3 linked regions of the Diceros bicornis minor genome follow. The main gene of each other region encodes a partner of the protein of the gene in region 2 in a complex. Links are inferred from orthologs where the notes say so. Each region holds a gene or a part of one and is shown on either strand. Other genes may lie near its edges. The genes, in order: KCTD5, CUL3 and KLHL42.

Region 1 (3,744 bases), on a different chromosome or scaffold from region 2:
ACTCAGGGTTTAACTATCTAGGAGTGAATCTCTGGGACATTCATTTTTTGTGTGCGTGAGGAAGATCAGCCCTGAGCTAACATCTGATGCCAATCCTCCTCTTTTTTGCTGAGGAAGACTGGCCCTGAGCTAACATCTGTGCCCATCTTCCTCCACTTTATATGGGACGCCAACACAGCACGGCTCGACAAGCAGCGCGTCGGTGCGCGCCCGGGATCTGAACCGGCGAACCCCGGGCCGCCCCAGCAGAGCACGCGCACTTAACCGCTTGCACCACTGGGCCGGCCCCACTGGGACATTCTTTTATCAGAAACAAGGGGGGAAAAAACTGAGAAGACCGAGTATCTTTTACATTTTCTCATTTGAAGTAAAACGCTACCATGACTAATGCAAATTAGCATTACTCTTTCTGGCAAATCCACATTATCTGTGACTAAAATTAACCCTTATTTACTATCAACTATTTTATGAGACAGAAACCGTATCTAAATTTCAGTTTTACAATTCAGAAATCAAATATATTTAAGTGGATGCTGATAAAAAAAAGAAACTACAACATAAATATATTGTGATAGATTAATTACCCTCTCCCAAAGAACTCCTATTACAGTAAAGCATAATTTTTTAAGTAGTCCTGAGACAGTAAAATAAAGGGATGAATCGACTTAACTGCGCAAGCTACAGCTTATCGGCTCTGTATTAATTGTTTCAGTGGTGAATCGACAGCCATTGCCTCAAAACAAACAACCCAACGGACAAGAACAATTTAAAACCTGACTCAATATACAAAACAGGAACGCTTCAGTAGAAATACAAGTGAATGACCCCTAAGACTCTGTTTAAAAAGAAAAACAAAACAGTAAAACATAGACCCACACTATAAAAGAAAAATCACAACTGACAAAAGCCTATTTCTATCCTGGAGAAGACTGTCATTTTCTGGGAGGTCAATCCTCTAAGAGTGGAGAGCTCAGACAAATGAGCAATGGAAATAGCTGAGGGGGGTGGGCGGCGGCACCAGGGGACCAGAGCGCTGGCATCTCAAACCCTGATTCCTACCCATGATGGGTGGTTTTGTGGTAACTCAAGAATTCTCATTTCCTGATCATAAGGTCATGCCACAGGGAGGATGGTCTCCGTCAGGGTTCTCGAACTTGAAGAGAGATCTGAATCTTTCTGGGAAGCCTTATGTCTGGCAAATGTTGGGGTGGCAAGGCACAAGGCCAAGTGCAATTATGCAGGCTCAACTGAAAGACCCTGGCAAGTTAGAATAACACTTGTGAATTGCCCAAGACAAATATAGTAATAGCTTTTTCCAACAACGCCTTCCCTGAGTTTCAATCCTGTTCAGTGCCTGAGATACTCTTCCTCGGTCACACAGGTCTTGTAAAGTAAAGGTAATCACCAAAATAGTTTCTATTACCACCCGTACAACAGTGTGAACATTAAACTTGATGAAAGACAAGCTGCAAACTAACCTAGAAATTCCTATCCTTTTGCCAGGGCAGTCGGAAAACTAGGCTAATTAATTAGAAAGCAGACTGAAAAAGATTTCCCCCCTGGCCCTTCCTTGACACCCCTAAGCCACCCCTTAATATGAGCAGCATTCCCTTTGAACAATCATTCTATGGATGGCACCCTCTGAGAGCGCTGAGTGTTGTGGCTGAAGACGGTGGAGCGCCAACTCTCTAAATGCAAGTCACTGGCAAAGGCAGGCCACCCGTGAAACCCCCCCACGCCAACGGTAAGTCAACCGCCCGGAATGTGAACAGACGAGAACAGCGCCAGGGTTCCGCGACTCCAGAACCACTAAGTACCCCGGCGCGGAGAGGAGAAGGTGTGCACACACCAGGGGCCAAAGAGTCGAGGGAGGAGAAGAAAGCAGACTCACAAAAAAGTCCGGGGTCTGGGTAGCCTCCTCCGCCACAGAGCAGAGAGGACGAGACAGAGACGCCTCGAGGTGGCGTGGCCGGGGATCCCCGAAGGCAGTGGGCGCCAGGGCGCCATCCCCTCCGTCCCCGGCCCAGGCAGGGAGTCGGGGGCTCGGGCCGAACTGTGGCGGGACGGTCTCCCCAGCGCGGGCAGGGCCCAGACTCTCGTGGCCGGCCCGCGTGGCCCTCACCTTGTCCGAGTCCAGGTCGGGGTCGGCCTGGCACAGACGGTACAGGAAGGATTTCGGGTCCCGGCACAGCGTCTGACGGGTGGTGAGGAAGTAGGTGCCGCCGACATTCAGCCGGACCCACTTGGACACGCCGCCAGGCCGCTGGGCCAGCGCGCCGAGCCCCGCGCTGCAGCGGGGGCACAGGCCGCCCCCCAGCCCCGCCCCGAAGCAGCCCGGGGCCGGCGGCAGCAGCTCGCAGTGATTCTCCGCCATGATCCCAGCAAGCACCGCCACAGCTCCCCTCCACCGGAAGCGTCCGGTCTTTAATATAGTCCTTCGAGCTCTGTCCCGCCCACGCGGCCGGCGTCACGCAAGAGGCGGAAGTTCCGGTCCGGAAAAGCGGCCGGCCGTGCCCCCTTCCGGCCCGGGCCGGCCACGGCGTGGTCCCAGGGCGCCCACGCGGGCGAGCAGCGCGGGGACCGGCGACCGAGTGGAGAAGCGCTCGGCAGCCTCCGCCCCGCGCGTGCGGCGCGCGGACGGCCGGTTCCCGGCCCAGAACCCAAGTCGCGACCACGCCCGCCCCGCAGCCCCGGCGAAAGGAAGAGCTGCGGTACCAGCGAGCGTCTACACTCTACATGCTTTTTTATTACAAGACTACCGAGCATACGTGGAAAATTCATCATCCGGTAACTACATCTAAAGCACAAATATTTGAAAAAAAGAGAATAAACAGATTCATTAAATTATGATATGATTAAATCATTGACCAAATAGAAAATTTATATAATAAAGCCAGAAAAAAAGTTGTAAAATATAGTTTACAATAATTATTCACATTCAAGGCTGTACATCAATACATACAACAACGTGGCCCCGAACATGAATTCAATCCAAATAATTCATATATTAGATTTTAAATAACACAGACTGAACTAGAGGCCAACAAGAGCCAGCAAATAACCTTATATAAGAATAAAAATACAAAAGTGTATATCCTAATATCATTGCATTATTTGTTTTCATAAGTTTTTTAAAATTTTTGCTTTGCCTGTACATCACAGTTACAGCTACAGACCAGGTAGAGAATATTACACATGTTCTCACTGCCTGCCACCAACCTGAAAGACAGCTAACATACTATTTATTGATTCATCCTATTTTGTGTTAAGGAACAGCTGCAGCAGCTCTAAATACTGCAAGAATTTAATTTGCCAAGGTCCAATCAAACTTCTGATCATGATAGAGGCTTTTCACCAGCAAAATGACCCCTATTCATTCAGCCAGACCGTTAGACCAGGGTGGATTACACAGCTAAAAAAGGTTTGCCTTTGTAAAAAGTTCTCTGTACACAAAGTTTGGTGTTTCTTCATATTGAAGAAATGAGTTATGGGGAAAATTCAGGTATACACGTAGGCTCATTCAGCTGCCCACCACGGCTGTCTGAGCTACAGATAAAACTGCTCTTTGCTGGACCGGCTTCCCCTCCAGACCCACTCTCCACAGGCAGCCTGATTTACAACCTCGCAATCATGGGCCAGCAGCCTGCGCCCCTCAGAGGCTCTGGGAGTGCCTCTTGCCCTGATTTAAGGCACTTGCCCTGTAGGCCGCCTCAAACCCAGGGCCACACCCACTTGAGTCACCAT
Region 2 (3,744 bases):
CATACACATAGCGCTACTTTAAAATAATCAGTTTCATCAGTACTGTGTGCTAATCTATCACATAATATTACACTCTTCAGCTAAAGGAATATTCTCCCACCACCTCCTCCCAGCAATGTAAGATCCAGAAAGCAGGCATCTGGGTCTTTCAAGCTATACTGATATATCCCAAGCTCCCACAACAGCGCCTGGCACACAGTACTCCATCTTTGTTGAATGAATGAAAGAATGGGAGAACAGATAGGAACAAGCAAACCTAAAGAGATCAAAGGGTTAATCACACATAGATAAAGGTATAACTGGTTAATCAGAATATTGACATAAGTGAGTTGATGTCAAATGTGAGCTATTCCACATTTTAGTAATAAATCTGAATTAGAACTCAGACTGTAAGAGTAGAAAGCTTTTCCTAGAAAATTTGTTGTATACAACTAAAATTCTGCTAAAAATGGTCAGAACTGATTTAGTAGGAAAACGAACATTACTCGAAAATTCACAAACCCAGCTTTTGTTCCATTTTAAGGGAAAACGTGCTAGTGAACGTCATTAGTGCTCTTTTGTCAACATTTCTCATTTTCTTTGTAGTTTCTCACATTTACTTAAGAAAAAAATTCAAAATCCCTTTCATCAGTATCAAAATACTTAATTCTCCTGAGTATACCCTAGCTTTACTTACATAAAACTAAAAGTTTCTACACATCGACATTAGTATTTACGCTACCACAATTTCAAAATTCTGCATCAGGTGTCTGCATCAGGTCTTTTAAGTTTTAAAAATTCACAGAGGTCCTCAAGTTCAGTGGGTCGGTTTCCTACTCAACTAGAATAACTACACTAATAAGTCTTTCCTCACTGCAAACTACACTTTACAAAAAGCACGCTTAAAAAAGTGAGTACAAACTGCCTCTTCCTCCCTCACACTTTATGTTTATGATTTTAAGCAAGGAAACCCAAGATCTTTCTCTAGCTTTGCTGTTTTAAAATTTTCTGTTCAACTGCTGGTTTGTCTGTCCTGACGTATGCCTGTTACTGTAGCGACACGAGCAAATACGCCTAGTTTCTCTGTTACAACAGCACATTTTAATGCTTGTCATTGGCTATTCGATTCAGATATGACACCCGAAGTTATACCCTATATACTCAACGCCACAAGCATATGAGTCAACGTAATGCTAAAAAAGAAAGTTTCTAAACAGAAAACGTCTGCTGTCACTAAAACCTAGACGGTAAAGCAACTCAGGATGGTGACTCCTCGTTCTTTGGGCTTCCATGGCTAAGAAATAAAGAACCAATTGTCCAATTTGTTCTCTCTGGCTTCCCCTTGAGTGGCAAGGCAGTTTCTGCCCATGAGAGTTGGTAAAGTGCTCTGAAGCCTGTGGATGAGAGATGCTATAAATACACCCATGTTACTGGTACATTACTATACAGCACTACGTGGAACCACTGTCACCGCGCCGGGGGTAGGCGGATGGCACAACCCTCCCCGACGGGGGAGGAGAGGGAGAGGACAGTGCCCTCCATCATTCTAAAGGTCTGGCTGGCCGTCTCTTCGGCTGGCTTCTTTTCTCACCCGCAGCGAAACCACACGTGAAAAGTTACACACGCGCCCCACACAAGGACTTCGCCCGTCCCCATCGCGGCAGGGCCGGGATCCCGGAACCCGGCGCCCGGCACCGGGCCGGCGCCCGGGGCCGCGGGACCGGCGAGGGGGCCCGGCCGGCGGCGCCGCTCCGCGGCGGGGGCGCTGGGAACGGCCCAGGAGGCCCGGCCCGCGGCGCCCCGTTGCCGGGAGGCTCGCGCCCCGCGGCCGGCGGCGTGGGGGAGGGGAGGCCGGGCCTGCGGCCTGTTGGGGGAGTTCAGCCCGGGCCTCGCGTGCGGCTCTCGGCCGGGCCCCCGGCCCCGGGGTCCCCGGCGCCGAGCGGGGACTCACCGGAAAGGCCCGGATCCGCATCTTGGTGTCCTTCCGGCTGCCCGTGCCTTTGCTCAGATTCGACATGGTGCTCGTCCCCTCCCCGGCGGCGGCTTCGGGTCGCACTCCGAGGCGCCGGTGTCACATCTAAGGCGGGCGGGCGGGCGGGGGGCGACGCGGGGGGCGGCGGCGGCGCGGCCCCCGGGCTGGGCTGGGCGGCTGGCCGGCCCTGGGCGGCCGCGGCGGGGGCGGCGGCGGCGCGGGCTCCGGCGGCGCGGGCTCGGCTGGGGGCTGCGCTGGCGCGGCGGCTCCGCGGCGTCCCCCTCGCGCCCGGCTCGGCTCCCTTTATCGCGCTGCTCCGCGATGGCGGCGGCGGCGGCGACGGACAAACATCTCACTGCGCAGGCCGAACGTCCTCCTCCTCCTCCTTCTCCTCCTCCGCCTCAGCGAGACGAGATCCGGCCCAGAGGGTGGAGGGGGGAGGAGGGAGGGAGAAGAGCCGTAGAGTGGAGAGATTGGGGGAAGGGGGGGTGGGAGGACGGGAGGGGAGGCGGGCGGCCGCGGCGGGGACGCTCCGATCTCGCGAGAAGAGGGCGAGCGCGCGGCCCCGGGCGGGGCGGGGCGAAGCCGGGGAGCGGGAGGGGACAACGGGAGGGGAGGGAGGGAACCGGGAGCCGGGGAAGTGGGAGGGACCCGCGGGGCGGGGAGGTGGGAAAGGGGCGGGGCCGAGGGCGGGCGGAGTAAACTGCCTTTTTGAAAGGGGAGCGCTGGAGACCGGCTGTGGGCGGAGGAGGTTGCTGATTGGTGGAGCGCGGGGCGGGGGTGGGGGTCTTGGTCACGTGGATGGAGTGGGCGGGGGAAGTTCTGAGAGCCGGAGCGGGACTGTAGTGGGCTGGGTCCGGCTGGCCTGGGTCGCGAGGGTAGTGTCGGGGCGGGCGTGGGGTGCGAGATGGATAACCATCCAGAACTGGTTCCTGTGTTTTTCTAGGGCATGTGGACTAGGGATGGGTATTTGAGCAGAAGCCAGAAAGTTGAGAGAAGAGTTGGTGCTGGAGTTACCTGCAGTGTCAGAAATTAGGGTCCTGTATGCCGGGTATTCGGATTGGATGTGCACACCCCACCTTTTAGGACTGAGGGGTGGAGATGTTAATCCACAAAATTTCCTTAAACTGCAGACGCTTCAGGACTTCTTGATTCGTTGATACTTTCTGAGGGACCCAGGACTTATTAGTGTTAAAAATCTGTTTTTCGTTACCATTGAAATGAAATGACAATGCCTTTTATGTAGTGCAATATTTTGGTAAATGGTGTTAAATAGAAGATAGGCTGATAGAAACCTATCTTTAACCTGCCAAATCATTTTTACTATTACCAAGAGTACCATAGATTTTGAAAGCCAAAATTGTCTTTGATTCCACTTTGCTAAAAATTTGGGAATTTTTTTTCTGTCATTGTAGTCAAAAGGTCTAGTTTGATTCATTCATTTTGCTTTCTATTTATTATGAATTTTACTTCCTAATTTACCTCTTTGCTCTATTTGGATTTCTGACTCTGCAGAGGAATATGTGAGTTCCCAGTTAAGTTTGTGAACTTCTAAATAAGATGGGTATCTACATTTGAGAGCTATTATTTATTTTAATACTTTTTTTTTTTTTTTTTTTTTGCTGAGGAAGATTCACAATGAGCTAACATCTGTTGCCAGTCTTCTTTTTCCTTGGGGAAGATTGCCCTGAGCTAACATCTGTGCCAATCTTCCTCTATTTTGTGTGTGGTTTGCTGCCACAACATGGCTGACCAGTGGTGTGGGTCCGGCCTGGGGATCTGAGGGGAACCTA
Region 3 (3,744 bases), on a different chromosome or scaffold from region 2:
AAAGGCTTTCCTAGAATGAAAAAAAAGACTACCAAGGATTTGTGAAGAAAGAAAAGAAATCTGTGAGGTGTCGTGTTCCAGTCCTGGAGGTAGGGGTGGCGTGTTGAGCACCAATTGATACGGCTGGAGACGTGTGTAGAGGTGACAGACAACCTGCTGGGCCTTCACACCCAATCTGAGCACCACCCATAACTGCTGAACGTTCCTTTATTGCTTCAATTAAAGCTCCTAGAGTTTATTTAAAAATAACACTTCTGATATCAAAATTGAAATATGGCATCATCTCAACAGTGTAAATAATGCACTAAAAAGGGCCTGGAAGAAAATATGCCAACCTGTAGGTGGTTAATGCCTCTAGGAAGGAGGGAATAAGACTGATAGTCTTTCTGCTTCTTTTCCATTTTTTTCAGTTTTCTAGAATAACTATGTACTATTTTTAATCATCAAAAAAAAAAAGAACACTAGCGGCCGGCCTGGTGATGCAGCAGTTAAGTGCTCACGCTCTGCTTCCGAGGCCCAAGGGTTTGTTGGTTCGGATCCGGGGTGTGGATCCTGGGTGCTGCACCGACGCACCACTTGTCAGGCCATGCTGTGGCGGCGTCCCATATAAAGTGAAGGAAGATGGACACGGATGTTAGCCCAGGGCCAATCTTCCTCAGCAAAAAGAGGAGGATTGGCATCGAGTGGTAGCTCAGGGCTGGTCTTCCTCACACACAAACAAAAAAAGAACACTTTCCAAAATGATTTCATATTCTAGTAGAAATAAAGCCAGTGTTCCCCCCTGGCCTGGGGGGACCCTCAAGTCAAGTAAATAGTATGCATAATGGCCTTCCTGTTCCTGTGAAGACTGTCTTTGCCTGGTGGTGAGTGTCCCCACTCCTTGCTCCACACTCCAGGCCAGGGAGCATGGCGGGCCTGGAGACGGATACAGGTGGACCAGAAGAAGGGGTATTCTTGTCGTTTCTTGGGTGACAGTGATTCTTCTCTCCACTTGTGAATGGCTCTGGGCCGTCTTGGGCCCTACCGTCTTAACTTCCTACCACCTCCTCCTGCATCTGCTCTGTGCTCTCGTTCTCCCTTTCCTGGCTCCTTTCCCTACCCCACCCCACCCCCAATCTCCTTCTTTTCTCTCCCTTTCTTGAAGTCATGCAAGTTCATGTTAGGAGGAATTTGCAGGACGGGAAGGGAGAAGGTTAGGGTGGATGGAAATTTTCTAATTCTGTAAGTGATCACCGCCAGGCTCAAGCTTTGGGTCAATGACAATGACTGGCTCAGAAAGAAGAGAGATGCAAAATAGAGGATAAAACATAAGAAAGGCAATCCTATATAGCTAGTATTCATACAATTCTAACGACTATGTCCCGATGACAGATGGGTGACCCGGTGTGGAAGGCTTCAAAGCCATTAACAACAAAAAAATCCCCCAAAGTCAGTGTTACAGGTTACTGCCCAGTGTGTCATTATTATCAGGATCAGATCCTAAAAAATAAAAAAGGTGAAAATAAAAGCAAAATTAAAGAACAGTTTTAAGTATCCTTTTAGGAAACCACAACATCTTTTTTTCCACTGGGATAGAGGCAAAGAAAGTAGTTTGCCTGATGGCGAGATACCTGCAAGGCGCCTACTCAGCTAGTTGACCTCACTGGGGCCTCTTCTTCCTTGCAAGTTCTTAGTTCACTGGGAACTTTGCCAGAGTGGAGGCCAGCCACACTCCTGAAGACGTCATTCCCTCCTCAGCACAACCTCCTGCGATTGCTCAGTAAACATTAGGCGAACGAGTTAATGAACAAGTGAATGAATGAGAAAGAACCAGCGCTCTGCTGGGGGCTTACCTCTTCTGGTTCATGGAGGCCACCTGGAGCCACTCGTTGGTGCTGGGGTTGTAGGAATGCGCGGCGGCGATCTCCTGGCTAGTGATCCTGTACCCGCCCACTATGAAGAGGTAGTTGTCCAGGATGGCGGACCCGTAACCCCTGACATTCACCAGGTCGGGGGGAAGGTTGTTGGCCAGCGGGAACCAACGTTCAGTCATCTCCTCATACCTGAGCATGGACGGGGGCTCCCCCTGGTAGGGGTGAGGGGCCAAGGGTCCCCCCAAGAAATCCCCTAGGGCCACAAGGACAGGAGTCCCAGTCATCCGGGCCTCTCTCAGCCTCTGCTTCAGGCTGACATCCCCCGGAGCTTGGGGAGAAGCCCCCAGGAGGTGGAAGTGGGGCTTGCAGAGCACCTCGTGGAAGTGGACGACCATGAAGCGCAGGCAGGCCTCCTGCAGGTCGGGCAGCCCGTACACCTGCGCCAGGCGGTACATCTCCAGGCAGTTGGTGAGCCGCACCTGGGACAGCAGCAGCTGCAGCAGGGACGTGACCTGCAGGAAGGAGGCCGCTTCCACCAGCTCGGACAGCAGGCTCACCTCGTCCATCTCCTCCTCCTCCTCCACCCCGCCGCCCTTGTCCCCGCGCGGGCCCAGGAGCCAGCCTTCGCGGGCCCCGCCGGCGTTGATGAAGTCCAGCACCAGGCGCAGGCCCGGGGCGCTGAGGCCGCGCAGCTGCTGCACCTCGGGGCCGCCGGCCTCCTGGCTCAGGGCCTCGCGCATGCCGGAGCGGTAGAGCGCGCGGAAGTAGTCGCTCTGCTCGATGAGCTTCCTCTTGCTCACCGGGTAGCAGCGGTCCTCCAGGCGGATCTGCACCATCTCCTCGGCCGACATGGCTGGGGGGCCGCGGGCCGCGGGGCTGCCCGCCAGCTCTGCGCGCTCGCCTCCCCGCCCCCACGCGCTCGCCGGGTTCCGGGTTGGGCGCGCCGAGGGAGGGCGGCGGGAGGAGGAGGCAGGCGGAGGCCGCGGCTCGGGGCCGCGGCGGCGCCCCCGAGGCAGCCCCTCCTCCCGGGCCCGGGGGCGGCGGCCCTGCCCGGCTGCTCTCCCTCAGCGCCAAAAAAGGCCCGCCCGCGCGCCGGGCGTCGGGAGGCGGCCGCCGTCCCCGCTCGGGTTCTCGCGGGCCGCGTCAGCCGGGGAGGGGATCCCAGCCCCCGGCCTGCAGCCTCCTCCCCCGCCGCGCTTCCCGCTTCCGCCCGCGGGACCCCTGCCGCCCGCCGGACCCGCGCGCCGGCTCCCGCGCTCGGGGAGGCTGGGAGGCTGCCGGCCTCCGGCGCAGCGGCTCTGCAGCCTGGCGGGGTCTGCAGCGATGATCGCGGGGGACAGGAGGCGAGAGGAAGCCAGTCTGCTTTTTCTTCCACGCTGCCTTTTGCTGGGGGCGGGGGCAGCTGTGGGAGGATGAAGGGAGTCTGGGGTCCGGGGAGTCAAAAACACATCACATCTGGGATCGCCCATCTGGCCCAGTCGGGCTTCGTGTCCCAGGGGGCTGAGGCACACTGGCCGTCTCTGGACATGCAGGTGGCACCCAGAGGTGATTCTTCGGCATGGTCATTGTGTAGGAGCCATCTTGCAGAAAGAAGGTCCAGCCAGATGGCAGTAGGTTCTGCAGGGCTCAGCGCATGGGGTGCACCCGATGAGAAGAGTTGGGAAGCACAGGAGCTGGTATTTGCTGTTGGGGCCTGTTATCCTCTTTGTGCTATTAAAAGAAAGTCAGAAGGACAACTTGACTAAATAAAATTAGACCACGTGCCTTCTTTTCAAATATTTTCTAACAGCCATTGCTTTCCCTGTTTCAGTTTGGTTGGGCTAGCCATTACGGAATGTTATTTTGGGGCAGAAGGTCTGGCCGCTTTTGCTCATATTTGCCTACAGAGGTG

The links.
Region 1: the proteins of CUL3 (region 2) and KCTD5 are in contact, whole or in part, in a cryo-EM structure (PDB 8U83), measured with the Homo sapiens proteins. The link is inferred for Diceros bicornis minor from reciprocal best matches to the Homo sapiens genes CUL3 and KCTD5. Residues at the interface, in NP_003581.1 of Homo sapiens: Thr24, Met25, Asp26, Glu27, Lys28, Tyr29, Val30, Asn31, Ser32, Ile33, Trp34, Asp35, Leu36, Leu37, Asn39, Ala40, Glu43, Asn48, Ser50, Leu52, Ser53, Glu55, Glu56, Leu57, Arg59, Asn60, Ala61, Tyr62, Thr63, Met64; in NP_061865.1 of Homo sapiens: Trp45, Phe55, Leu56, Thr58, Thr61, Arg64, Asp65, Lys67, Ser68, Pro96, Thr97, Tyr98, Phe99, Gly100, Pro101, Leu103, Asn104, Tyr105, Leu106, Arg107, His108, Gly109, Lys110, Leu111, Val112, Ile113, Asn114, Lys115, Leu117, Val122.
Region 3: CUL3 (region 2) and KLHL42 share a complex: the UniProt entries of both Homo sapiens proteins name them as parts of the BCR(KLHL42) E3 ubiquitin ligase complex. The link is inferred for Diceros bicornis minor from reciprocal best matches to the Homo sapiens genes CUL3 and KLHL42.

Annotation. Positions count from the first base shown.
Region 1 is NC_080765.1:45,804,023-45,807,766, forward strand, and holds the start of KCTD5 (BTB/POZ domain-containing protein KCTD5), read right to left. Parts: upstream 2,390-3,744; 5' UTR 2,375-2,389; coding exon 2,123-2,374; intron 1-2,122. UniProt on the Homo sapiens protein: Its interaction with CUL3 suggests that it may act as a substrate adapter in some E3 ligase complex. Does not affect the function of Kv channel Kv2.1/KCNB1, Kv1.2/KCNA2, Kv4.2/KCND2 and Kv3.4/KCNC4.
Region 2 is NC_080776.1:14,113,145-14,116,888, forward strand, and holds the start of CUL3 (cullin-3), read right to left. Parts: upstream 2,397-3,744; 5' UTR 1,997-2,396; coding exon 1,931-1,996; intron 1-1,930. UniProt on the Homo sapiens protein: Core component of multiple cullin-RING-based BCR (BTB-CUL3-RBX1) E3 ubiquitin-protein ligase complexes which mediate the ubiquitination and subsequent proteasomal degradation of target proteins.
Region 3 is NC_080756.1:35,317,391-35,321,134, forward strand, and holds the start of KLHL42 (kelch-like protein 42), read right to left. Parts: upstream 2,867-3,744; 5' UTR 2,705-2,866; coding exon 1,833-2,704; intron 1-1,832. UniProt on the Homo sapiens protein: Substrate-specific adapter of a BCR (BTB-CUL3-RBX1) E3 ubiquitin-protein ligase complex required for mitotic progression and cytokinesis. The BCR(KLHL42) E3 ubiquitin ligase complex mediates the ubiquitination and subsequent degradation of KATNA1.